6 linked regions of the Danio rerio genome follow. Each later gene encodes a partner of the first gene's protein in a complex. Links are inferred from orthologs where the notes say so. Each region holds a gene or a part of one and is shown in the gene's direction. Other genes may lie near its edges. The genes, in order: taf1a, taf1c, polr1h, polr2f, taf1b and tbp.

Region 1 (3,500 bases):
AGTAAAGTTGAGCACGTTTTTTTTTTTTTTGTAACCTGTACAACCAGTACAGCGAAAAGATGGCAACATGGCGGCAAAATTAAACAATGAGGCTGTAAACAATGAAAACGTCTGTTTCTAAAGTATTAGAAGCAGACAATTACATTAGAACAAAATTTAGAAACTGAAAAAATTAAAACAAAAAACAGTTGTCAGTTTGGCAAGCCATTTTTATAAAAATTATTTACAATTGCATTAAAATACCAGCACATTTTTCATACCGCTCTTTCATTTGCATAAAATCTAGAATTTTGCTCATTGTTCATTTATTGACATATTTAAAATGTTTAAATTCTAGATTCACAGGCATAATTTTGCCATTATTTAAAATATGTGGCTAAGAAATAGCTATTAACTTTTTAGTTTTTTTTTTTGGTGGGGCCAGTGAAAATTTTGTTAAGTAAAAATCTCAACCAATGGCCTGATTGGACCCGTATAAAAAATCCTTAGCGTTGAACCCTGTAGTAGATCTGAACACTTCTCAAATGTACCATCCTCTCAGCTTCATCTGTATATTGATATGGCTTCAAAAATACTTGAGCGCAGATTAGGTTCCACAGAATGGGCTAGGAAGTTGGGTCTAAATTAAACAGCATTTGGGAAATATTCACAGGAGGGTGTATATTTTTGCATTCAGCTGTATAAATAGTAGGTGTCAGTTGTGTTTTGTTGCTCATTGGTTGTGTTGACGTTGATTTCAGGAAGTGGCAGGAGATTATACAGAAGGAGTGGAAGGTGCGGCGTTCGCTCTGGGTACCTTTACACTTCAGAGACTTCCTCAGCCTCAAAGACTGGATGGACAACCATAAACTTATGATGATCATCAAGAAGGACTGTCTGAGGATCATCAATGAAAACAGCTGAGTATATCACTGTAGAGCAGGTCCAAAACTTCCACGAGTGTATAGTTGAGCCTTTTCACATTTGTGGGTTTCTCAGCAGCAGAAGTCGTCATAGTTGGTAAACTCAGAGCACAGTGAATGAGAGAGAGCAACAACTCATTATATTTACAATCCTGTTTGCTGAATTAATAACAGAACAACTCCACCATGGTGTTATCACAACATTCAGAAAATAGACAAAAATAGTGTGAGACTGATAACAGCCTCCAGAGGAGAGATCAATGTCGATATACTGTTACAACTCATGGGCAATCTAGGTAAGTGGGGTTGCACACTTAAAGGGCCATGAAACCCCCTCGTTTCAGCAGGGTGTTTTCACACCTCTACTTTGGAAAAAGTCAGAAAAGTGGGCGTGTCCAGCTCTGTTTAGGGGGGAGTGTCGGAGGAACTAAAGTGGGAGGGTGTGGGAGTGTCTATTTGGGCACGCGCGAGTTTCAGTCAAAATAGAAAGTGATGGTGTTTAACCTACATGGACATCTGTAGTCGAATTATTTGCCAAATTATTAAACGTTGGACTTTAACTGCAGTTTGGCTCTTTCATTCAGGGAATTCATTCATGCCCCTCTCGACACACGTTATATTTGATTGGAGGAACTGCTCTAAGCGTGTATTTTTCATGCAATGTTTGATACCGCACGGCGAATGAGAGAAAAAAACCTCCGCATTTCCCGGAAACTTAGATGCACACGGCAGGTAGTGTCAGAAAGCCGCTTGTGTTATTCCGGTTACAAAATGCGGTAAAAACCCTACATGAGGTTAAAGTTTGGTTGTAGTGCTAACATGTTTACACTCTGTGCAATAGTTAACTTAGTTCGATACGAACAAACTGAATAAACAAAGAGCACTGGTCGCTCACTTACCAAATCTGTAGAGACAGGACAATCACCAGCAACTAGAGCCGCGTCTTTATGAAGAGAAGACTACAAGCGTATCCGGATTTCAGCGTTTGCAGATGAGAACAGCTCTCAGGTAAACAATAATCCTCCTTAGACACGTAAGTTATTGTTGTCGAGCGTCGCGTACACTGTTAATCCACACGTGACTCCAGCTGAGCTCTCACAGAGAGAAAATGAAAACAAAACTTAACTGCAGCAAACTATAAAAGCAACACTTCACGCTTGTTTTGCCAACACAACGTGGCGTCTCTGTCGTCTAAACACTGTGACAGTAATGAATATTAATGAAGTTGCACAATAGAGCGCGCTGATTGGTTTGAACCAAGCCTTACTCATGCATTAATGCAACACACTGTAAGACGTAATAAGACACAAGCTGCGTCCCAAATCGCATACTTATGCACTATTCTACGCCATTTTGTAGTATAAATAGTGTAAGTAGTGTGTTCACACTGAAAACTCTTAAAATAATAAGTGCACTTTAATTACCCGGATGATGCACTCATTCAGCCGCTAAAATGAAGTGTGTATTGATGGACACTTCACGCACTCAACGACCGCAGGTTTGCTTACGTAGCGGAAAGGGCGGAGCTATCGGACGCACATGTTGGATAACTTTATTTATTTTGGATAGTGAAAGCAAAATTCTCCTACGAGAGTGATTATAGCGCCTCCCGATGGTGAATGCGGCAATTCTCACGATAGGTATTATTTGATAATTCGGTCGTTTATTTCACTAATTTGGCAACCGTCAAACGTCATCAGGGAAACGGTTTGAATTTCCGTTTAGTAAAAAAAACATTAGTGTGCCATTTGGGACGACACTACATACATATACTATCCTGTTGAGTGTGTAAGTGCATAAGTACATAGTGCATGAGTGCATAGTGTATAGTGTGCCATTTGGGACGCAGCTATACTCACAGGCACAGACGTCCAGTCTGCACGCTGGAATACACGCTATTATGTCATGACCGTGACGCAGCTTCAAAAATTAGTTTCAAACCGGAAGTACGAATTTGCTTAAAATAACGCAAAAAACAACCAATTTACACTTTTTAGTGAAATATAGGTGTCCTGATAGTGTTTTTAGCAGTGTGGGACACATATACCACTGTCAACAGCTCAAACACATGTGTTTTGGTGTTTCGTGACCCTTTAACCAAAGGATCTGGTTCAAACAAACACTCAGGGTGCTTTCACACTAACACTTTTGGCCTGCACCCATTTTCTTTTGATGTCAGAGCACGGATTGTTTAGCTCAAGGGTGTCAACCTCATTTTAGCTCAGGGGCCACATGGAGGAAAATCTAATCCCAAGTGGGCTGGCCTGGTAAAATCATGGTATATATAACTTAAAAACAACAACTTCAGATTGTTTTCTTTGTTTTAATACAATCAACATAAAACATAGAGCTGGATCCTGAGGACAACACAATCTCACAGCAATTCATAGCTTTTTGATTTAGTGGCTAATTCATATGAATTCGTACAATCCAAGCGCCAACTTCCTGCTCTCCCTCGGGAAGCCAGTACTGAAGTTACTGAAACTGCAAATCAAGTCCAGGAGAACTGCAGGAAGTCCAGGTGATTTCTGACTGCAGTGGGAAATTGGCCATATTTACAGCTGATTAAAACATGTTTACATCCCCGTACAAAAGATG
Region 2 (3,500 bases), on another chromosome or scaffold:
AAACACACATTATACTGTTTACATATACAGTTAGTCATTTAGTTCCTGGAGGATCATCAACACTGCATGTTTTGGATGTCTCCTTTGTCACACCCATTACAGGTATTTCAGTCTCTGCTAATGAGCCGATGATCTGAATTAGGTGTGTTTGATTAAGGAGACATGGAAAATGTGCAGAGCTGGTGGTCCTCCTGGAACGTGGTTGAGAAACACTGGTTTAGCTGACGCTTTCGTTCAAAGTGACCTACAAAGTTAGAAAGTAACTAGTTACTGTAATTAAATGACTTTTCCAGTGAACAATTAAGGAATTATTTTTCATTTTTTAGGCAATTAAATTACTTTATGTACTTGTCTGAAGTACTGTAAATAAATAATCAGTTCTGTATAAATCAATTTAGAGAAACAGAGTAAATTTAGATGTATTTTTTTATTCGCATATTTTGCATAATAACCCATTTTTTCCGACAATTGTATGTGCTTTCGAAACGAGTGAGGAATTTAAGCCAATATATGATATGTATGAAATATGGATTGGTCTTATGAAACTCTTTTTTTTTTTATTATTTTATACATAATGTTTACCTTTTTTTAAACTAAGAGGTCAACATAAATAACTCTTTCAATTCTGTACATTTGTCTGTGCATTGATGTCTACAAGTTAATGTTTATGAGTTAAGCAGTATTGAGTGATTAAATTACTTATTGATTAATTAGGAGACTTTTCAGACAAAGTAATTGGAAAAGTAATTTAAACACAATTATAATGATGCAATAAGTATTTAATTTAGTTAGCCAACATTAGTTACTTACAAATGAGCTAGCAATCTGTAAGAGGTAATACACACAATAAGAACTACTTGCACAAATGTACTGATGTTGCTTAGAGCGGTGGTCCCTTTTTAGTCAAGCCTTTTATCACTGCGGACCAGTCGACGCTTGATAATTTTACCGTGGCCCATGACGAGCTGACAAAACATTGCTTATTTATGGAGAAAATTAAGCAGCACTGCAGTGTTTGGTTGTTCTGTGTTTGTCTGAAGTAATTAGTCTACCGAAATGTGTATATTTCATAACGAACTTGCACACAGAAAAAACTCGATATGTGAATGGACTCTAAAGCCGCCGTCATTTGCGATCTCCACCAGTTGATCATCTTTCACAGGCATGCTGGATTCCCCTTTGCAAAGAAACTTTCCTAAGACGTCTGCTTTTTCTAGGATGTGGGTTAAATTTTGGTACTCAAGTGCCCTAGATATAACCGAGAGAATACTGTCAAAATAAAAGATTGTTCAGACTCAAATAATAAATAAAACGGAAATAATGAATGAGTTCTTGTGCAGCCCAGTACCAATTGATCCATTGCAGCCTGGGGGGTTGGGGATCACTGGCTTAGAAAAATAAGAGCTATTTTATCGAGGCTTTAATTGAATTTCAGCACATCTATCTAATCCCTTCTCTGTACAAAAGAAAATAACTTCCTATTTCCTCGCTTGCAGTTTTCCTCCTACATCATGGACGAGCGGGTTCCCAGTATTCCTATGCTGAAATGGGACCACATGATGGACTTTCCACCAATATACACCTGCGCTTTACCTCCAAAATCCCAGAGTCAAAGCTGCAAAGTGCTGCTGGGAGCTCAGAGGTCGCAGGAAATCATGTTACTGCAGTACACGGGTGAGAGCTTTGGGCTTGTTAACAACAGTTGCATATTGTATTGCATAACATGTTCCTTCATGGCAAATCATTACACTCAAAGCAAATTGCTGTGCATTATTATCATCATTATGCATTATTATGTGCCAAGTTGGCGGTTCATTCCACTGTGATGACCCCTGATAAATAAAGGGACTAAGCTGAAGGAAAGTAAATGAATGAATGTGATCAATTCTGAGACACAAAATTAACAGTTGCACGTCAGGGGCTTCACAAGGGGCCTTCAGTGACATGATCTTGAATGGGGTCCTTCAGCTAATTTAAATTTTCCATGGACTTGCCCAATTTAAAGATAGCATGTTAAAGTGCGCTCGTTTTTGCAATTGTTTTGGGACTTCCGATGTAGCTTCCTATGGGAGAAATGACTAGGAATATTAAATGGTAGAAAACGGTCAAACTACTTGCTCGACAAACAACTGTTTGCATGACTATACACACAAAATAGAATAAGACAAAAAACAAATATCGGTTTGCAACATCAAGCTGCAAAACGAGCTGTTTTTAACATCTAAAATGAATGGAAGTGAATGAAACCGGAAGTCTCGAGGCAAAATGATTGAAATGGCTGTGCCCGCTCGTCCACGGAGAATAAGGTGAATAGTGTCACACCAAAGGACATGGCTTGACAATTGCGAGTTACTAAAAAAGACACTTGTAAAACAAGATCAGAGGTATTTATTAATGAATGATTTCTTTTTAATTTATAAGAGCTGTAATTTATTGAACTATGCTTGAAATGGTCACACCGTAAGACAGTTTTGAAATTTTTATAACAAGGAGTTCATGTTTTCTGCATTTTAAGTGATGGTAATACTAATTAGTTTTTTTTTTGTCGTGTGTTGACAGTGAAAATGCAACAACCCATATCATCTCTTGTTTTGTGTCATCTAGGTGGCAGGCAACATGCTTGTCAGACTCAAGGACCCATTCAAAAGCTTTTGTGTCCAAAAGACAGTCTAAGCCACCTGAACCTTCAGCTGCCGCACAAGAGACGCATCGCTCAGAAGAGACTGAACAGCCCTGCTGCAGGTCAGAAACGTCCTGCAAACATTTAAAACAGCTGAAGATTAATAAGTTTTGATTTGCATTAAATATGGACTGTATGAAGTAGCAGTTCAAGTATTACCTGTGTAGCATATGTTAACATGGTGTCTTACAGGTTGGTCTGAAGTGCTCATTATACAAACCTAATTATTACAGTGAAAGTGAACATGTTCCTGATTATTTTTATTATAGGAATAATTAAGAAAATTATGGACTGGTAATTTTTCTAATAAGTTCATTGACTCAAATCAACATTTGTAGGTCAACTTATAGTAAAATAATAATAATAGAATCTTATAATAATTATTAAAATATCTATTCACATTAAAACATGGTTTTATTTTTATTTATTTATAATTTATTTTATTTATTTGTGATTTAAATAATTGTTTTTTTAATACATTTTCAACTTAAGTACAACTGTCAAATTACAATATATATTGTTATGGCTTAATGTATTTGCATTAAAAGTTTGAGCAACTCAACATATTCAACATATTATCAACTTCATCTTCATATCAAAGTCGCTAAATGAGAAAATTTGAGAGATGAACTATGAATTTTGAGCAAGAGACTGGCTTTTGCTGGTCATCCATGGTGTTTTGCTATTTGTTTGTGTTGTTTTGAGAAATGCACCGACTGTTTTGCAAATTTCAATTCAGATCTGAGAAATCACACAGGCATGACTACAAACTACAAAACGTGCATTATTTTTTTTCATGTGATAAATGCAGGGTCTTTTG
Region 3 (4,086 bases), on another chromosome or scaffold:
ACGGTATGATAACCTTGGATAAAAATATCCCACTTTCACAACATTGTGATTACTGCTCTAAAATATATTATTTTTAAATATCTGAGTTTATTTCCCATCTGAAAACAATACATTTTATTTTGTAAAACAAAGTATTTTGGAGCAGTAAACATGTCTGGCTAAATAATTCAAATGAATCATTGACTTCTGATGTCTTTATTAGTTTCAAAACACAGATTTCTTTACAATTTATAGCGGCATCTTTGGATATCTTTTCTGCTGGAGATACTGTTGTCCTAAAAAAAAAAAATGTAAATAAAAAATCTCACACATACCTTCGGAACAGTAAAGCAGAACAATTTGGTCGAAATTAATTAAAACCAGTCAAACTATGGTATACCTTGAAAACTGCTATTGTCCCATGCTTAATATCAACGCACGTTTATATTCCCATTGTTTGCACATTTCTGCTGTGTAATATAGATTTAGAGTATATAGATACACAATACAGAGTAAAAAGGTCCAGAGCTTATCATTGTTGTGACATAAATTGTATCGCAATTCGATACAATATCGTTTATCGGCCCAGCTCTACATTAGTCCTATTTAATTGTTATTTTTTTCTGAGAAAAAAAATATGAAATATCATTAAATTTGTTTTACCATGATAAAAAGACACACACTACAATATCATTCAGTGAAACCACAGTCAGAACAAATTTCTCCTTTTGCCAGAAGTTTTTTTTTTTTAAACAAATAAATAAACAAACAAAATTAATTGATTACGGAACACAATATTTTGACATACACGTGATTTAGAAAAGCGTGTTTGCTTAAATTGTATTCGATTATATTTGTTTGTGTAATATATACACAAAAGCTAGAGACTTGTAGCTTTTCAACAACTATTAATCAAGACAATATATTAAAGAATAAAACCCCATTCTCCAGCACTACAATAGCAAAAAAAAACTTAATTCATAGATAATGTTTTATGCTAGCCCACACACCCGTAATTAATCAGTTATGTCGCTTTAAACTAACAAACGATTTAAGACGTAACACATTAGCACTTAGTTAGCTAATCCATTAGCCCAAAATAGGCAGCGTGTGGTCAAAACACTACGACATTACATTGCTGAATGTTTTATGACGGAATATAAAGTGTATTATCACTTCTCATGTCGATTGTGGTTTTTAATAGTATTAAATAATCGCAAATACCTCGAAACACTGTTTGAAGCAGTTGGATTTGACTGCACCTGCCAGATAGATTGTCTACAACGTCATCAACTCGCGACGAATCTACTGTTTTGACGAAGGACCCCAACATGTGGAACTGCCTTGAGTAAAAACCTCTCAGTTTGTAGAGAAGTTTGTATTTGGTTTGTATTTGTTACTATAACTAGCGTACATATCGCAAGATTTTTGCATCTGGTAATATTTAAGACCGCCGTGTTGGCGCTTTTATAAGTAAGTTTCTAGTTTTGATTAACGTTATATAAAAAATGTATGTACGTATGTGTGCGTGTGTAGTTTTTATAGATTATTAATTTATTACAGGAAACTTTACAATACAATATATAATACTGCAATACTATAGTAGTCTCCAATTTATTTTTTAATAAAAAAAACGATTTAAATCACTAGTTTTGGTCAAAAACCAATAAACTATGGGTAGTGTAGCAAAACATGGTGAGTTTGTAGTTCTTACGTGATTTACTAAAATTACCATGTTTTTATATTATTTGTGTTATTGTACTATGGTTAATTTTTGTTATTGGTGACTAAAGTCTAGTTACTAACATTTTTTTCTCTCCTTTAAGAAATGTCGTGTTTTAGAGGAGATGTCGACTTTTGTCCTGAATGTGGAAACATTCTTCCACTACCCAGCAGGCTGAATACTATCACCTGCCCACGATGCTCCTTCAAAATCTCTGTTCAAGGTGAGAGTAAGATTAATATGTCATAAGTAATTTATATAATATTTTATGAGATTATATATTGGCCCTGTTTCAGAAAGGAAGTTAAGTAATAGCTCAGAGTATGTTTAACCCTGAAATGAGAGAAATTTTGGGTTTTCCGTTTTAAAATGGCAGGTTTGTCAAACTCGAGAAAGCAGGGTAAGTCAAGCCTGTTTCTGAAAGAGAGGTAACTTTGACTTGGTTGTTGCTAGATCGAATATGTTTACGGCTGGAAGGTGAAGAGAATTATTTATATTATTTATTAAATCCCCCGTTTATTGTATTTTATTAACATCTACCCTCACCCCAACCCTAAACTCAACCAACAAAGTAATGTAGAAACAGTAGTTGTACTGGGTATAATTTACGTTACCTATTAAATTATACAATAAATTGTATTTTTTAACGCCTTCCCCCAGCCCAACCCTAAACCCCACCGTCACAGTATTGTACAAATATTCATTATTGTTATACAGTGTCATAACAAAATGCTGCTATATTGATGTGCAGATCGCACTTTCGGCCAGCCGTGTATCCGATCTAGACTTTACCCTTTAACTCAGAGTCAGTTACCGTGGTAACTTACTCTATGAACCTAACCTGGTCAGGAGCCGGTTTTATTCTCTAAACTCTGAGTTTCTGTTGGTCTCCTCCCCTTTTTTAAAGACAGAGTGTATTTCTCACCTTGGCCTTGGTCATTCATTGCCTACATTTCAGTCACACAAAGAACATGGTTATGAGAATGGCTTGTACTTTTTGGGAACATTACAATTAGATTCAATACCATAGTTTTAAGTTTTAGCTTTGATATTACTGCAAAAAATAAATAATTATTAGAATAATATAATTATTATTTTAAATTATTATAATAATAATTATTATTTTAAAATAAAATAATTATTTAGAACGATTATTACTAGTTTTAAAAACTATTTTTAGTACTGCTAAAGTCTAAATGTTACTTACATTCTAAATGTTATATCAACCTCTACCACTTGATCAATAATAAAGGCAGACACACAAGTGCACTTTCAAATCTTAAACTGATCAACGTGTGTAAAAGTGGGAACCTTAAATTAAACATTTCCACTGAACATTAAGCTAAGGTTATATGCATTTTTTGTCAGATTTGTTGTAGAAACTATGCAGCAGCCTATTTTATGTAATTTAATGCAATTACATTTGAAATGACTTCAAAATTGGTGACGCGGTGGCGCAGTGGGTAGCACGTTCGCCTCACAGCAAGAAGGTCACTGGTTTGAGCCTAGGCGGGGTCAGTTGGCATTACTGTGTGGAGTTTTCATGTTCTTCCTGTGTTGTGTGGGTTTCCTCCAGGTTCTTCGGTTTCCCCCGCAGTCCAAAGACATCACATGCGCTATAGGTGAATTGCGTATGCTAAATTGTCTGTAGTGTATGTGTGTGAACGAGTGTGTGTGGATGTTTTCCAGTGATGGTTCAGGCTGGAAGGGCATCTGCTGCGTAAAAAACTGCTGGATAAGTTGGTGGTTCATTCATCTGTGGTGACCGCAGTTTAAAAAAAACCAAGCTGAATAGAAATTGGGCGAGGCAGTGCTGTCGCCTCACAGCAAGAAGGTCGCTGGTTCGAACCTCGGCTCAGTTGGTGTTTCTGTGTGGAGTTTGCATGTTCTCCCTGCCTTCGCGTGGGTTTCCTCCGGGTGCTCCGGTTTCCCCCACAGTCCAAAGACATGTTGTACAGGTGAATTGGGTAGGCTAAATTGTCTGTAGTTTATGAGTGTGTGTGTGAATGTGTGTGTGGATGTTTCCCAGAGATCGGTTGTGGCTGGAAGGGCATCCGCTGCGTAAAAACTTGCTGGATAAGTTGATGGTTCATTCCGCTGTGGCGACCCCGGATTAATAAAGGGACTAAGCTGACAAGAAAATAAATTAATGAATGAAAAGAAATTGAACGACTTCAATGACTTCAAAATTATGGCCAATTCCCCACTTTTTCAAGGTAAAAGTGTATAAACATCACGCATTACTTGTTCTTTTATTACACTTAAATATTTAAATACTTTAAATGTTTTAGATTTAAGCATACACATTAACTTGTGCAGCTATCTTTTTTTCACGCTAACTGTCTCTGTTTCACTAATGCAGTTGTGTTGCTTTTTTTTAATAT
Region 4 (4,004 bases), on another chromosome or scaffold:
CTACTTATCAGTGTTAAAAATATTAGGACTTACTTTTGGGTGCGTCTAGCTCTATGCTCTGACTTCTCTTGTGAGCAGAACCAGGAACAACAGCTATAAAACATTAAATTAAAAAACATGTTAGAAAGATCAGCACTGGAGTGTTACTACAGGACATTATTATTTTATCACAGTGAAAACGGTAAACATGTAGTGAACATTATGACAGATAATTGCTCAAACCATATAAAGCCATTTCATAGTGTATAATTCTAACATCTTTATTTTAAAAAGCCACGTCTTCATCTTTATGAGCTGTTTTCTTTTGGTTTTGTGATGGTTAGTTTTTGACTTTAGGAAATAGCCGGTTTGGATGAATAAACTCTGACCTCTGCTTTCTCTGCCGGACATGTTGATTCTCTGTTTTTTCTTCAGTCTTCAGTCCATCAACTTTCTATTTGCACCTGATGATTGTCTCTTTATCACCCTGTCATAGATTACACAGATTTTACTTAGCAAGTTATATATTGATTTGTAACTTTTTTATACTCTGTTACCAATGTTAATGTTTGTGTAGTCTATATGAACATCTACTTACACTTTTTTGCCCTGAACATATGCGGTAAACAGCGCTCTTGTATAGTGATTAAATCAAATAGGCCTATTTATAACAAAGTGAACATGTTTAATGAAAGGAGGACAACAAAGTTCAACAGCTGTAAAAGTTTTACATTTACATTTCTTTAAAACAAGCTGACACTGCACATTCAGATATAGGTTATAGAATAGGCCTAGGCTACATTCAATTTTTGTTTTTGTTATCAAACACACCTGAAAGTAAAACCAACCAAATCTAAGGCTTGATTGCAACTACACACTGAATACATCCAAAATAAACAATTTCTTCCAAACATCGCAGTTACATCTATACATTTGCATATTTTACAAATTGATTATTTAAAACAAATGTTTACCGTGTCGAAGATAGTCTTTTCCTTCTTGAAAACTGGAAAAACCTGTATTTTGGGAGGAGTTTTGTGAAGTCACAAGACACTCTTCACCTCTTTTTTCTTCTATTTCAATGGCGGGTAACACCAACGCCGTCGCTTAAAGAGGGAAGTGGGGGGGAATGATTAGTCTGTAAACCTAACCTCTAGTCCACAGTGCAGAGCTGAAGGTGGCGGTAATGCACCAAAACGCTGGATGTCAACCGCCGTAAAATTATAAGAAGAAGAAGAAGAAGAAGAACGCCGTCGCTTTGGTCATATACTAGGTGTAGGAGTGTGAACCAGATCAAGTTCGCATTCCCAAATAAGTAGACATAGTAGCCTATATTTTATAGTCTCGTTCAGTTCTGTTGTCTTTTTATCTTCATATGTTTGTCTTGTTAGACATTTAAATGTAAAAATATGTCAATTTGATGCTAGAACAGGGTAAAGTCTAGATAGGATTCAGCTGCGGATATGCACATCAATATCTGTGATAAGAACAATTAATATTTTTACAGTACTGTGACGGTTGGGGGGTATACGTAAAATACATTTTATTAAGTAATTTAATAAATAGCAAAGTACAGCTACTCTGTTTGCTGTTACGGCTAGAACAGGACAATATTAGATATGGGGATTTATTTGAAAATTTATAACCAAAAGTTTTACAGCGTTGAAACGTCTTTTTAGCATCCCGTCTTTGTTTTATAAACCATCACACATTTCCTACATTGTCTTGTTAAGAAATGTAAAGTGATTGTATTGTATAAGAAAACTGTACATGCTGGTTCTTGTTAATAAAAAAATAATAAATAAATAAAAACATTTCCTACATTGTGTCTTTTTTTACTGCTTTACGATTTGCGTGTTTGCGGAACGTCAGTGCTGTGGATCGTGTTTCTGCACGGACAGTGACGCTGCGGCAACACCGGAAAATCCTTCCACGCTTGGAGTCGCGCTGCGGTAAACTAGCTGTGAGATTCCAGACATAACATTTTTCTTAAAAAATTACCTATTAAACCGGGGTAGGAGACGCAGAACACTAATAATGTCGGATAACGAGGACAAGTGAGTTTCAAACGCGTGTGTTGCGCTCAATGTTTTACTGTTTTCGAACGTTTAAAGTGTGTGAATGTGGAAAACAACAACATGCGATCATTTCCATACTGCGACACAACATATATAACGATGAATGTGACTTACACAGACCTGACAGCTGAGTCTTATTTACCCGATATAGCGAAGACTTGATTTGTGATTTATTGTCGATGACGTGTTTGTTTATCTCAGAGTTTGTTTGTTTGTTTGTTTAGTTTTGATGACGGAGATTTCGATGATGTTGAAGATGAAGAGCCTCTGGATGATCTGGAGAATGTGGAAGATGTAAGATCACACTTTCAGAGAAATACTTGCTTATATTCTGCCTGGTAATCATTGAGAAATGGAGTATTATAGTCAAAGATTTCTCTTATTTCCACATGAGAAATACCACAGAGTTACAGTTTAATAATTTGAGCCACACTGTAGTATTTTGCTGTATATATTATAGTATTTTTCAACTGGTTATTAATGAATGCTGCAACATACTGTAATATTAACTATAGTGAACTGAGAATAACTGTAGTATACAATAGATTTCTACAACTATGGAGTATATTATACTTCAATACACTACAATTTACTGTAGTAAAAACACAAGTATTGGCTTATTTGTTTATATTACTAAAGTACAATACATTCATTCATTCTCTGTTCGGCTTAGTCTCTTTATTATTCTGCGGAATGAACCGCTAACTTATCCAGCATATGTTTTACACAGCATATGTGTATGGGAAACACCCACACAAACTCATACACTGTGGCCAGTTTAGTTGATCAATTCCCCTATAGTGCATGTGTTTGGAGGAAACCCACGCCAACATGGGAGAACATGCAAACTCCACACAGAGATGCCAACTGACCCAGCCGGGACTCGAACCAGCAACTTTCTTTCTGTGAGGCGCTTGTGCTACCCACAGCGCCACCGTGATGCCAATATAGTAGAATGATATAGTAGAATCACCACAACAGATCAAATCAAGTACTCCACTATAGTATAGTGTTTGTGTATGCGTGTTTTGTGCTTGCTCATGTGTGTGTTGTGCATGCTTTTGTGTTTGTATTTTGTCCTAGCATTTGTGTACATTATGCATATTTGTGTGGGTGTGTGCATGCTTGTGTGTTTTGAGCATGCATTTGTTTCTGTGTTGTGTATGTATATATGTGTGTGTGTGTGTGTTTTGTTTAATTGTGTGTATCGTGTATGTGTTTGTGTGTGTTTTGTGTTTATTTTTGTCCAATGTTTTGTATGTGTGTGTGTGTGTGTGTGTGTGTGTGTGTGTGTGTGTGTGTAGGAGGACCAAGAGAATGTTCAGATCCTGCCGGCAGGTGAAGGACAGCAGGCCAATCAGAAGAGAATCACCACCCAATACATGACCAAATACGAGAGAGCGCGAGTGCTGGGAACACGAGCTCTGCAGATTGCGTGAGTGACCGATCCACAATCACCACTCAACACACACACACACACTGCCAAATACACAACATTACCAAACATGGAGATGCACACTGCAATGCCTCAATCTCTGAATCATCTCGCAGCATTAATCTGAACGCTCATACTCTGTTCATGTGTCCTTTTCTCTGTCCTCTGTTTAACTGTGGATTGAAGCACTGCTTTGGTTTCGCCTAACTTGCTGATCTTGGTGTCTGATATTGTGAGGTTTTATTTTTCTGTGATAAATATTGTGATAATACAGTTTCACTAGAGAGTTTGATTGGCTCTGTTTGACTGATTTCTGTGGAGAAACAAATGCTTTTCTTACTTTGCTTTCTCTCGTTTCTAGTCCAAATATCTAAAAATTCTTAAGAAAATATTTTGTTTTCAACTTTCCATGAACTTACTTTTGAAATTTTTCCCTAAAACAATCAAAATGATCTGCCTCTTATCCGTTTGATTAGCATTCATTTCAAGAGGAGCATTAAAGTGCAAAACCC
Region 5 (4,257 bases), about 23 Mb from region 1:
ATTTAATTTTATGGTTTAATCACAGATAAGGTCTCTCTTCTCAGTCTTGAGCAGCTCAAGGAAAGTGCCTGTTTCCTTTTAGCCAACTTCAGGTGCCGTGAACAGCAGGAAGCAGCAGAGTCGTGATGGGAAAGGCAGAGAGTGCATGTAATATTTATATACCAGATAAGCAAGTGAGCTAGACTCTGTATAATTTTCCCTTTTCGCCCACAGCCTCCCACAATCTCTATCCACGCTATGCGGCGTCTGTGGAGGACAAGTGGGGATGTAAAACGTGCCACACTGTAGGGAGAGCAATCCGCTGTTTCAGTGTGAAGAACAAAACCCACACCTGCAGTTACTGACTGTTCCTGATTTCCATTGCCAACAATGCTGTGTTTTGCATAGAGAACACGAGGAAACGCATGGGAGGCAGTAAACCATGAAATTGGCCCAGTGGTGAAAGAAGCAGCTTTTCTTCAAAGAGGTGGGGAGGAGGAAAGGAAGCATTGTTGATGGGCACAATTTATTTTATTTTTGTTACATTGCACATTTAAGCCACAATTGCATTAACTGGAACTTTATATATTTATAGTTTAAATGTTAAATATGAGGCATCTTAAATTTGCTAGGGTTTTTAACAACAAACAATAGAAAGGTCATGATGAGCAAACGAGAATATGAACACTATTTTGTATTTGCCTACTATTTGTTATAATTTATTAAAGAATAACAATAGAAATTCTGACTCAAGCAGGCTGATTGTAATCCAGGTAATGAGTAGCCTACCACCATTTACTGTCAGTTTTATCTAGCTATGGATTTTTGCGCCATCTACTGTCCATTGACTGTGACACATCTTTGTTTTGCAGGAGAGACATGCATTTACAATAAAACAAGTAAAATAAATGTATAATTTCTATATAAAAATAATTATGAATCGCAATTTATGTATCCAAGATAAGTTAATAGAGAATTCATGATAGAGTCAATACTTTATTATTATTATTATTATTATTATTATTACTTATCTGTCAAGCCTAAAAATAATTTAGTTACATTCCAGACAATATAAATGTTTAACAACATAATATAGAGCAAATACATAAAATAATTATATGGGATAATATAATTCCTACAATGTGGCAATGTGCAAATTGGGGGCTATGCCTTGTTATCTAAACTTGAAGTATGAATTATTATTATTATTATTATTATTATTTTGATTCACATATATTTATACAATATAATTACATTTCATTAATAAAATAGATGTTTAAAATTATACGTGTAAATGAGTTGAGTTATACTGTAAACGAAGAAAAAAATAAACATCAAAATTGTAATTAACATGCACATATACATATTACACAATATAGTAAAATGAAATAGCCCTACCAAAGGGTTCTAGATCAGTGGGCCAGGGCCTACTGTAAAATATTACGCTGAACAAACGAGTGACTTTTATTATGAAAAACGTATAGTCGGCCATGTTGAAAGCGAGTATGCTCACGCTGAAAACAGAAAACAAAAATTGTCTCATGTTTTGAAGTTCAGCTTACGTTTACACCATGGACGAACAAATTACTGTAAGTATCTCTAGTGTGTATTTTGTCAGTCTGCAGTGTTATGTGGAAATTCGTTATACTCTGTGAGCTGCGGTGCTGTTTCTCCAGGGTGGATATAGTGAGCCATGCGGACAGTGCGCTGCTGTGGACTGGGGAGTGTCAGACGAGGGTCAGTTCTTCTGTAAGAGCTGCCACAATGTCATCGAGGTGGGTTAATAGATATTTTAATATATAGTACATTAATACATAGACAGAAATCACTTTTTTTTTACATATGTATAGTTCTTCCAATTCCTATGAGCTTGTTTAAATGCATGGACAGGTATGAAGTTGTCGTATGTATTATAATTTACTCACTTTTCTGCTGATTTTCATTATGCTGCTGACTTTAATAGTTATATTAACATTTAATTTAATGATTGGTTAATTAATTTAAAAAAAATCATTAAACAAAAAGCTAATTAAAGCAGGAGTTGGGTAAATAAATATTACTAATTATTATCATACTCCCCCGGTTGATTGATTTATTTTTATTGAAAGCAGACATAAATGAAAACTTTTCATTTTATGAAAACTAAAATAGTATTTTAGTCACGTAAAGCTTATGCAGGTTTTATGAATGGGTTACATGCACAGAAGTGTTGTTCAGCCGAATCTTCAGGCAAACGATTGATGTGACTAATTTCAATTGCATAAGGGACCTTTTACAGCATCGATAATGTAGATTTTTATTTAGTTTAACAAAAAAAAAAAAACATCAGTAAATAGCGCTTTTCTGCCCAGCCTGCTCTACTGAGCTGAAGTTAGTTTTATAATCACATTGGTTCATTGTTTAACACTAGCCCCTTTCACACATACAGACCTTTCCGGAAAATTGGCGGCAATTTTCCGGCAGGTCCTTTTTGAAAATACCGGTAAATTCGTTCTGGCTATTTTCCGGAAAGAGAAGTTGTAACATTACCGGCAATTTGCCGGAATGCTGCGCTGTGTGAATGCAGAAGGAAGATTCCCGTAATAAGCGCGTGCACGTCTAGAACGTGCTGACGTGAGACGTCTGCTTTAGCCAATCACAACAGTCAGACGCATTTACGTCCGCGGGGTTTGTGAGAATAAAAGCCTTTGAATATTTTTCCAGACACATTTAGCTGCTAGAAGTTAGTCAGATCACGTTTATATGTTCTTCTTAATGCCAACTGTGTAAATAATCATCGATGAGATGCTTATGATAAGCCGTTGTTTGTTTACCTTCAAGCTTTGCGTGTGCCTGTGAAACAGCCTGTGAGCGCCTGCACACGCAGATATTATGAACATCTCGACATGCGAAAGTGATCCTGCGAAAGTTGTTCACAATATTGATCATCCACAGAGTTTGTAATTTAGTCAAATGTTTACAAACACAAGCGCAGCCGTTTAAAGCTCATTTGTGGTGAATGATGTCAGAATTTACCGGTATTTTGGAATGGATGTGTGAATGCTCTTTTCCGGAAAATTTCCGTAACGTCCTTACCTGTGTGAACAGGGCTTTTTTGAATATACCGGTAAAGTCGTTCCGGAAATTTTCCGGATATTTACCGGTATCACTGTGTGAAAGGGGCTACTCACAATCTGTGAAGTGCTCCTATATTGTTTACCATGCTACGCTGAATATTCAGCCTGAAATAGCATGTAAATATGGCTTAGTAATAAGTGTAATTCCTGCATGCCACCGGCCAACCACTAAGCATACAGTAGTCGCTGTAGGACAAATCGTGTGAAAGAGTGAGACCAGCGATCCTTGCATGCATTAAATATTGTACATCATGACAAGTTTTGCTTGCGACAGAACTGAAAATGTGCTAGATATATAATACAGTATGTCGTTCGGAATTGTAGTTTTATAAGTACTATAAAGTTTTCTAACTGGCAAATGACACAATCTAGTGATTGTCTGCTGTCAACTTTAAGCTGCGCGTTCATGATTTCAGGAGTCCTGGCTTGGGATGGCTGGGGTTTTCTAAGATATGCTAACGGATAGCATTTTGGCAGATTACCTCCTGCACCTTTAAACTGACAAACAAAACAAAAACGTTTGGTGTAAGACTTGCTGAAGAAGCTTTATGGCTCATTTCAGGAGAACAAAACCAATTTTTAAAAAAAAACAGCATCTGAAAACGTGTAATATAATAGAAATCTGCAGGCACAAATTTATAGTGCTATAAAAGAAACACTTTATGATGACTGTTTTGTCTACAGTGTCTCATCTTAATGGCATGATGTTATAAGCTTTACACACCTAAAGCATGTTGCTTGTTTTAACATCTTCTAGAAAATAAGGGAGGTAGAGGATGTTACCAGCCTTCATCATAAGCATGGCAGGATCTCAATAGTCAGGAAACCCAAGAAGAAAAAACATGGTCAGTCCAGCTTTACTTACTGTTTTTATTCTTGTTGATCATTTCTAACAGGATATTGTGCTAAAATGAAAAATTGAACCTGACGCCTCTTATGTCTGTTTTCAGATTCTGAAAGGGAGTGGTTGGTCTGTGAGGGATTTCAGTTCATCCTCAAACACCAGGCCAAGGCTTTGGTCAGTCTAGGTGTTTGTATGAAGTTTGAGGTTAGTGCTCTTCGTTTACTGAATCAAATTAAGTAGTTTGCACAGTATTCTTATGTTGTTAGATTTTATATTTGGTACATTGATCTCTTATGTAATTATGTAATTTTCTGTATA
Region 6 (3,500 bases), on another chromosome or scaffold:
TAGATAGATAGATAGATAGATAGATAGATAGATAGATAGATAGATTAAAGTAGTTTATAGATAGATAGATAGATAGATAGATAGATAGATAGATAGATAGATAGATAGATAGATAGATAGATAGATAGATAGATAGATAGATTAAAGTAGTTTATAGATAGATAGATAGATAGATAGATAGATAGATAGATAGATAGATAGATAGATAGATAGATAGATAGATAGATAGATAGATAGATTAAAGCAGTTTATAGATAGATAGATAGATAGATAGATAGATAGATAGATAGATAGATAGATAGATAGATAGATAGATAGATAGATAGATAGATAGATTAAAGCAGTTTATAGATAGATAGATAGATAGATAGATAGATAGATAGATAGATAGATAGATAGATAGATAGATAGATAGATAGATAGATAGATAGATAGATAGATAGATAGATAGATAGCTAGATAGATAGATTAAAGCAGTTTATAGATAGATAGATAGATAGATAGATAGATAGATAGATAGATAGATAGATAGATAGATAGATAGATATATAGATAGATAGATAGATAGATAGATAGATAGATAGATAGGTAGATAGATAGATAGATAGATTAAAGTAGTTTATAAATAGATAGATAGATAGATAGATAGATAGGTAGATAGATAGATAGATTAAAGTAGTTTATAAATAGATAGATAGATAGATAGATAGATTGATAGATAGATAGATAGATAGATAGATAGATAGATAGATAGATAGATAGATAGATTGATAGATTGATAGATAGATAGATAGATAGATAGATAGATAGATAGATAGATAGATAGATAGATAGATAGATAGATAGATAGATAGATAGAGATCTATCTATCTATTTTGAAAAAAGGATAGATAGATAGTTTTGAGGTCACAAAGTTAGATCTATTGTTAAGTCAATGACAGTCTTTTGCAATAAAAGTCTATGGGACAGTTGTTGCTAGGGTGCAGTATCTGGTAGTTAGGGTGTGGCTAGAAAGTTAAAAGCTCATCAGTTATTGGCAGTTTGGTAGTCTGAGTTAAATGAGCTCAGCCATTAGTCTGTAGGACAGTCTGATGCAGAGTTATGACCTCACAAAGTTTGATCCCATGTTAAGTCAATGAGAGTCTTTTGAATGGAAGTCTATGGGACAGTTTCTAGGGTCCAAAAGTGGTTGCTAGGGCGTGGCTAGAAAGTTTAAAGGTGATCAGTCATTGGCAGTTTGATAGTCTGAGTTAAATGAGCCCAGTTAGAGTTCTGTGCGACAGTCTGACGCAGAGTTATGAGGTCACAAAGTTTGGTCCAATGTTAAGTCTATGGGATTTTTCCGACGGTCCCGGGACGTTTTTCGGAAAATCGAAAGTCGGATCAGTCGGAAAAGATATGGCATACCGAGTCAGAATAGTTTGGAGGTCTGGTGTGAGTTTGGTGGTCATAGCTCGAAAGCTCTAGGAGGAGATAGATTTTGAATTTTAGTCTCAGAAGAAGAAGAATAATATATAAAAAAAATAATAAGTTTAAATAGGATTTCAGTAGTCTGGCTTGTTTCTCAAGCCAGCCTAATAATAATAATAATAAGTTTAATAGGATAACAGTAGTCTGGCTTGCTACACAAGCCAGCCTAATAAATTAAATAAATTAAAATAGTCTTATTTTCCCTTATACCAGGAGTTAAAACATAAACGGGGAATCCGTGAATCAGACATATGCTTGTGCCTTTTTGGCATTTTTCACCTAGCGTTCCATGACTTTGCTTCATGTCCATTACTATATGCACCATATATTCGGTAGGCTCAGTAATCTCTGTGTCATGATTAAAGACGCCAACCACAACTTAATGCATTCAACAAAATCAAACCATATACAGAGTAAAACAAAATAACAAAGAAAATCTACATCATTAACAAAGTTTTATATTATTTCAAGTTTCATTACAATAACAAACTTTGTACATCCATTGATAACTCTTTCAGCGTTTTGCTGCCGTCATCATGAGAATACGAGAACCCAGAACAACAGCGCTTATCTTCAGCTCGGGGAAGATGGTGTGCACAGGAGCCAAAAGGTATGAATGTCACCTGCACACTTGCTGTTGTGTCTTTCTACATTCTTGATGAACAAACAGCAGTATGTGAGTTTACCTTTCTTGTGTGAACTTCCTGCCACAGTGAGGAACAGTCTCGATTGGCAGCTAGGAAATATGCCAGAGTGGTGCAGAAGTTGGGTTTCCCTGCCAAATTCTTAGACTTCAAAATCCAGAACATGGTGGGGAGCTGCGATGTCAAGTTTCCCATCCGATTAGAGGGCCTGGTGCTTACCCACCAGCAGTTTAGCAGGTTTGTCTTTTGGTTTTGATTAGTTTGTTATTAATTTGTTGATTATTTAAACTACTTTGAGTTTTTCTGAATTTATTTGAATTTCTATTTCATACTACGTGATTTCAGTTTGATTTTTTTTTCTTACTTTATTTCAAGTAATTTGTAAACCTACAATGCGCATCAATTGGGGGCACAAGTTAAACTGTCAGAAAAAAACTTTTTATTTGGTTTATACATTTATTTGTTTAGTTTAGTTTTCAGTCCTACATGGCAGGTTCTATCACATTTGCAACTCCAATAGGATATATCCTACAAGGTTGACTCAAATTAAAATTAAGGCAACCTGCTTTAAGAAGTTTTGAGTCTTGTGCAGTATTTTGGGTTGAAAGTTAAGTCTACTAAAAAAAGGCTTTGCAGCAAAAAAAACTTTTTTTTTTTTTTTTTTTTTTTACAGTGTAGAATCTAGATATTGTTTTTAAACATGGAGAAACAAAGCGGAGACTCTGGTGGGAAAAGTCAGAATTAAAAACCCACATTTAAAAGCACTTTACAGAACCTTAAATACAATGCAAATTGACTACTAGTGACCCTGAATAAAATCAAACTATTATTATTATTAACATGCTTTTGTTCCTCTCACTTATTGTGATTGGACAATAGTTAGATGGGAAGAGAAGTTTGGCAGGAAAAGGGGCACTGGATAGAGAAATTTCCTCATACCAGGATTTGAACTTGGGATGCCCAAAGTGCAGTTATGCTTTGTCACTGGAGACAGAACATGTTTTAAATGTTACCAGTATTAGAAGAGAAAAATAAATGAGCTTGTTTTTAGTAGCCTGATATATGCTGCATGTCTTTATGATCATAAAAAAAGTGACATTTCTAGAAAAATAAGTGTTTGCTTCTATTATACTGAAGTATTTGCTGTGTGTGTTTGTTATTTCTTGGTGAGCACTATTTTGACTAGAAATTGGAATCTGACTGATAAATGTGATCTAAACTCTAATATACTGCTGATATTTCCTCCCCAGCTATGAACCGGAGTTATTTCCAGGGTTAATCTACAGAATGATCAAACCCAGAATCGTTCTTTTAATATTTGTTTCAGGCAAAGTCGTACTCACAGGTGAGGTCATAGTTACATTTGAAATGGCACAGATAGTACCT

What was found.
Region 2: taf1a (region 1) and taf1c share a complex: the UniProt entries of both Homo sapiens proteins name them as parts of the transcription factor SL1/TIF-IB complex. The link is inferred for Danio rerio from reciprocal best matches to the Homo sapiens genes TAF1A and TAF1C.
Region 3: taf1a (region 1) and polr1h share a complex: the UniProt entries of both Homo sapiens proteins name them as parts of the pol I pre-initiation complex. The link is inferred for Danio rerio from reciprocal best matches to the Homo sapiens genes TAF1A and POLR1H.
Region 4: taf1a (region 1) and polr2f share a complex: the UniProt entries of both Homo sapiens proteins name them as parts of the pol I pre-initiation complex. The link is inferred for Danio rerio from reciprocal best matches to the Homo sapiens genes TAF1A and POLR2F.
Region 5: taf1a (region 1) and taf1b share a complex: the UniProt entries of both Homo sapiens proteins name them as parts of the transcription factor SL1/TIF-IB complex. The link is inferred for Danio rerio from reciprocal best matches to the Homo sapiens genes TAF1A and TAF1B.
Region 6: taf1a (region 1) and tbp share a complex: the UniProt entries of both Homo sapiens proteins name them as parts of the transcription factor SL1/TIF-IB complex. The link is inferred for Danio rerio from reciprocal best matches to the Homo sapiens genes TAF1A and TBP.

What each region holds. Positions count from the first base shown.
Region 1 is NC_133195.1:55,153,363-55,156,862, forward strand, and holds part of taf1a (TATA box-binding protein-associated factor RNA polymerase I subunit A), read left to right. Parts: intron 1-740; coding exon 741-898; intron 899-3,500. UniProt on the Homo sapiens protein: Component of the transcription factor SL1/TIF-IB complex, which is involved in the assembly of the PIC (pre-initiation complex) during RNA polymerase I-dependent transcription.
Region 2 is NC_133196.1:7,074,665-7,078,164, reverse strand, and holds part of taf1c (TATA box-binding protein-associated factor RNA polymerase I subunit C), read left to right. Parts: intron 1-1,496; coding exon 1,497-1,674; intron 1,675-2,604; coding exon 2,605-2,742; exon of another isoform or gene 2,743-2,813; intron 2,814-3,500. UniProt on the Homo sapiens protein: Component of the transcription factor SL1/TIF-IB complex, which is involved in the assembly of the PIC (pre-initiation complex) during RNA polymerase I-dependent transcription.
Region 3 is NC_133194.1:29,753,805-29,757,890, reverse strand, and holds the start of polr1h (DNA-directed RNA polymerase I subunit RPA12), read left to right. Parts: upstream 1-1,286; 5' UTR 1,287-1,327; exon of another isoform or gene 1,328-1,452; intron 1,453-1,805; 5' UTR 1,806-1,807; coding exon 1,808-1,925; intron 1,926-4,086. UniProt on the Homo sapiens protein: Core component of RNA polymerase I (Pol I), a DNA-dependent RNA polymerase which synthesizes ribosomal RNA precursors using the four ribonucleoside triphosphates as substrates. Can mediate Pol I proofreading of the nascent RNA transcript.
Region 4 is NC_133178.1:1,278,189-1,282,192, reverse strand, and holds the start of polr2f (DNA-directed RNA polymerases I, II, and III subunit RPABC2), read left to right. Parts: upstream 1-1,204; 5' UTR 1,205-1,227; intron 1,228-1,884; 5' UTR 1,885-2,016; coding exon 2,017-2,036; intron 2,037-2,281; coding exon 2,282-2,351; intron 2,352-3,361; coding exon 3,362-3,492; intron 3,493-4,004. Other genes in the region: uncharacterized protein, read right to left, coding at 34-93, 369-390. UniProt on the Homo sapiens protein: DNA-dependent RNA polymerase catalyzes the transcription of DNA into RNA using the four ribonucleoside triphosphates as substrates.
Region 5 is NC_133195.1:32,286,268-32,290,524, reverse strand, and holds the start of taf1b (TATA box-binding protein-associated factor RNA polymerase I subunit B), read left to right. Parts: upstream 1-1,457; 5' UTR 1,458-1,550; coding exon of another isoform or gene 1,551-1,568; intron 1,569-1,655; coding exon of another isoform or gene 1,656-1,754; intron 1,755-3,852; coding exon of another isoform or gene 3,853-3,940; intron 3,941-4,045; coding exon of another isoform or gene 4,046-4,143; 5' UTR 4,144-4,257. UniProt on the Homo sapiens protein: Component of RNA polymerase I core factor complex that acts as a GTF2B/TFIIB-like factor and plays a key role in multiple steps during transcription initiation such as pre-initiation complex (PIC) assembly and postpolymerase recruitment events in polymerase I (Pol I) transcription.
Region 6 is NC_133188.1:27,589,467-27,592,966, reverse strand, and holds part of tbp (TATA-box-binding protein), read left to right. Parts: intron 1-1,988; coding exon 1,989-2,080; intron 2,081-2,183; coding exon 2,184-2,351; intron 2,352-3,364; coding exon 3,365-3,459; intron 3,460-3,500. UniProt on the Homo sapiens protein: The TFIID basal transcription factor complex plays a major role in the initiation of RNA polymerase II (Pol II)-dependent transcription.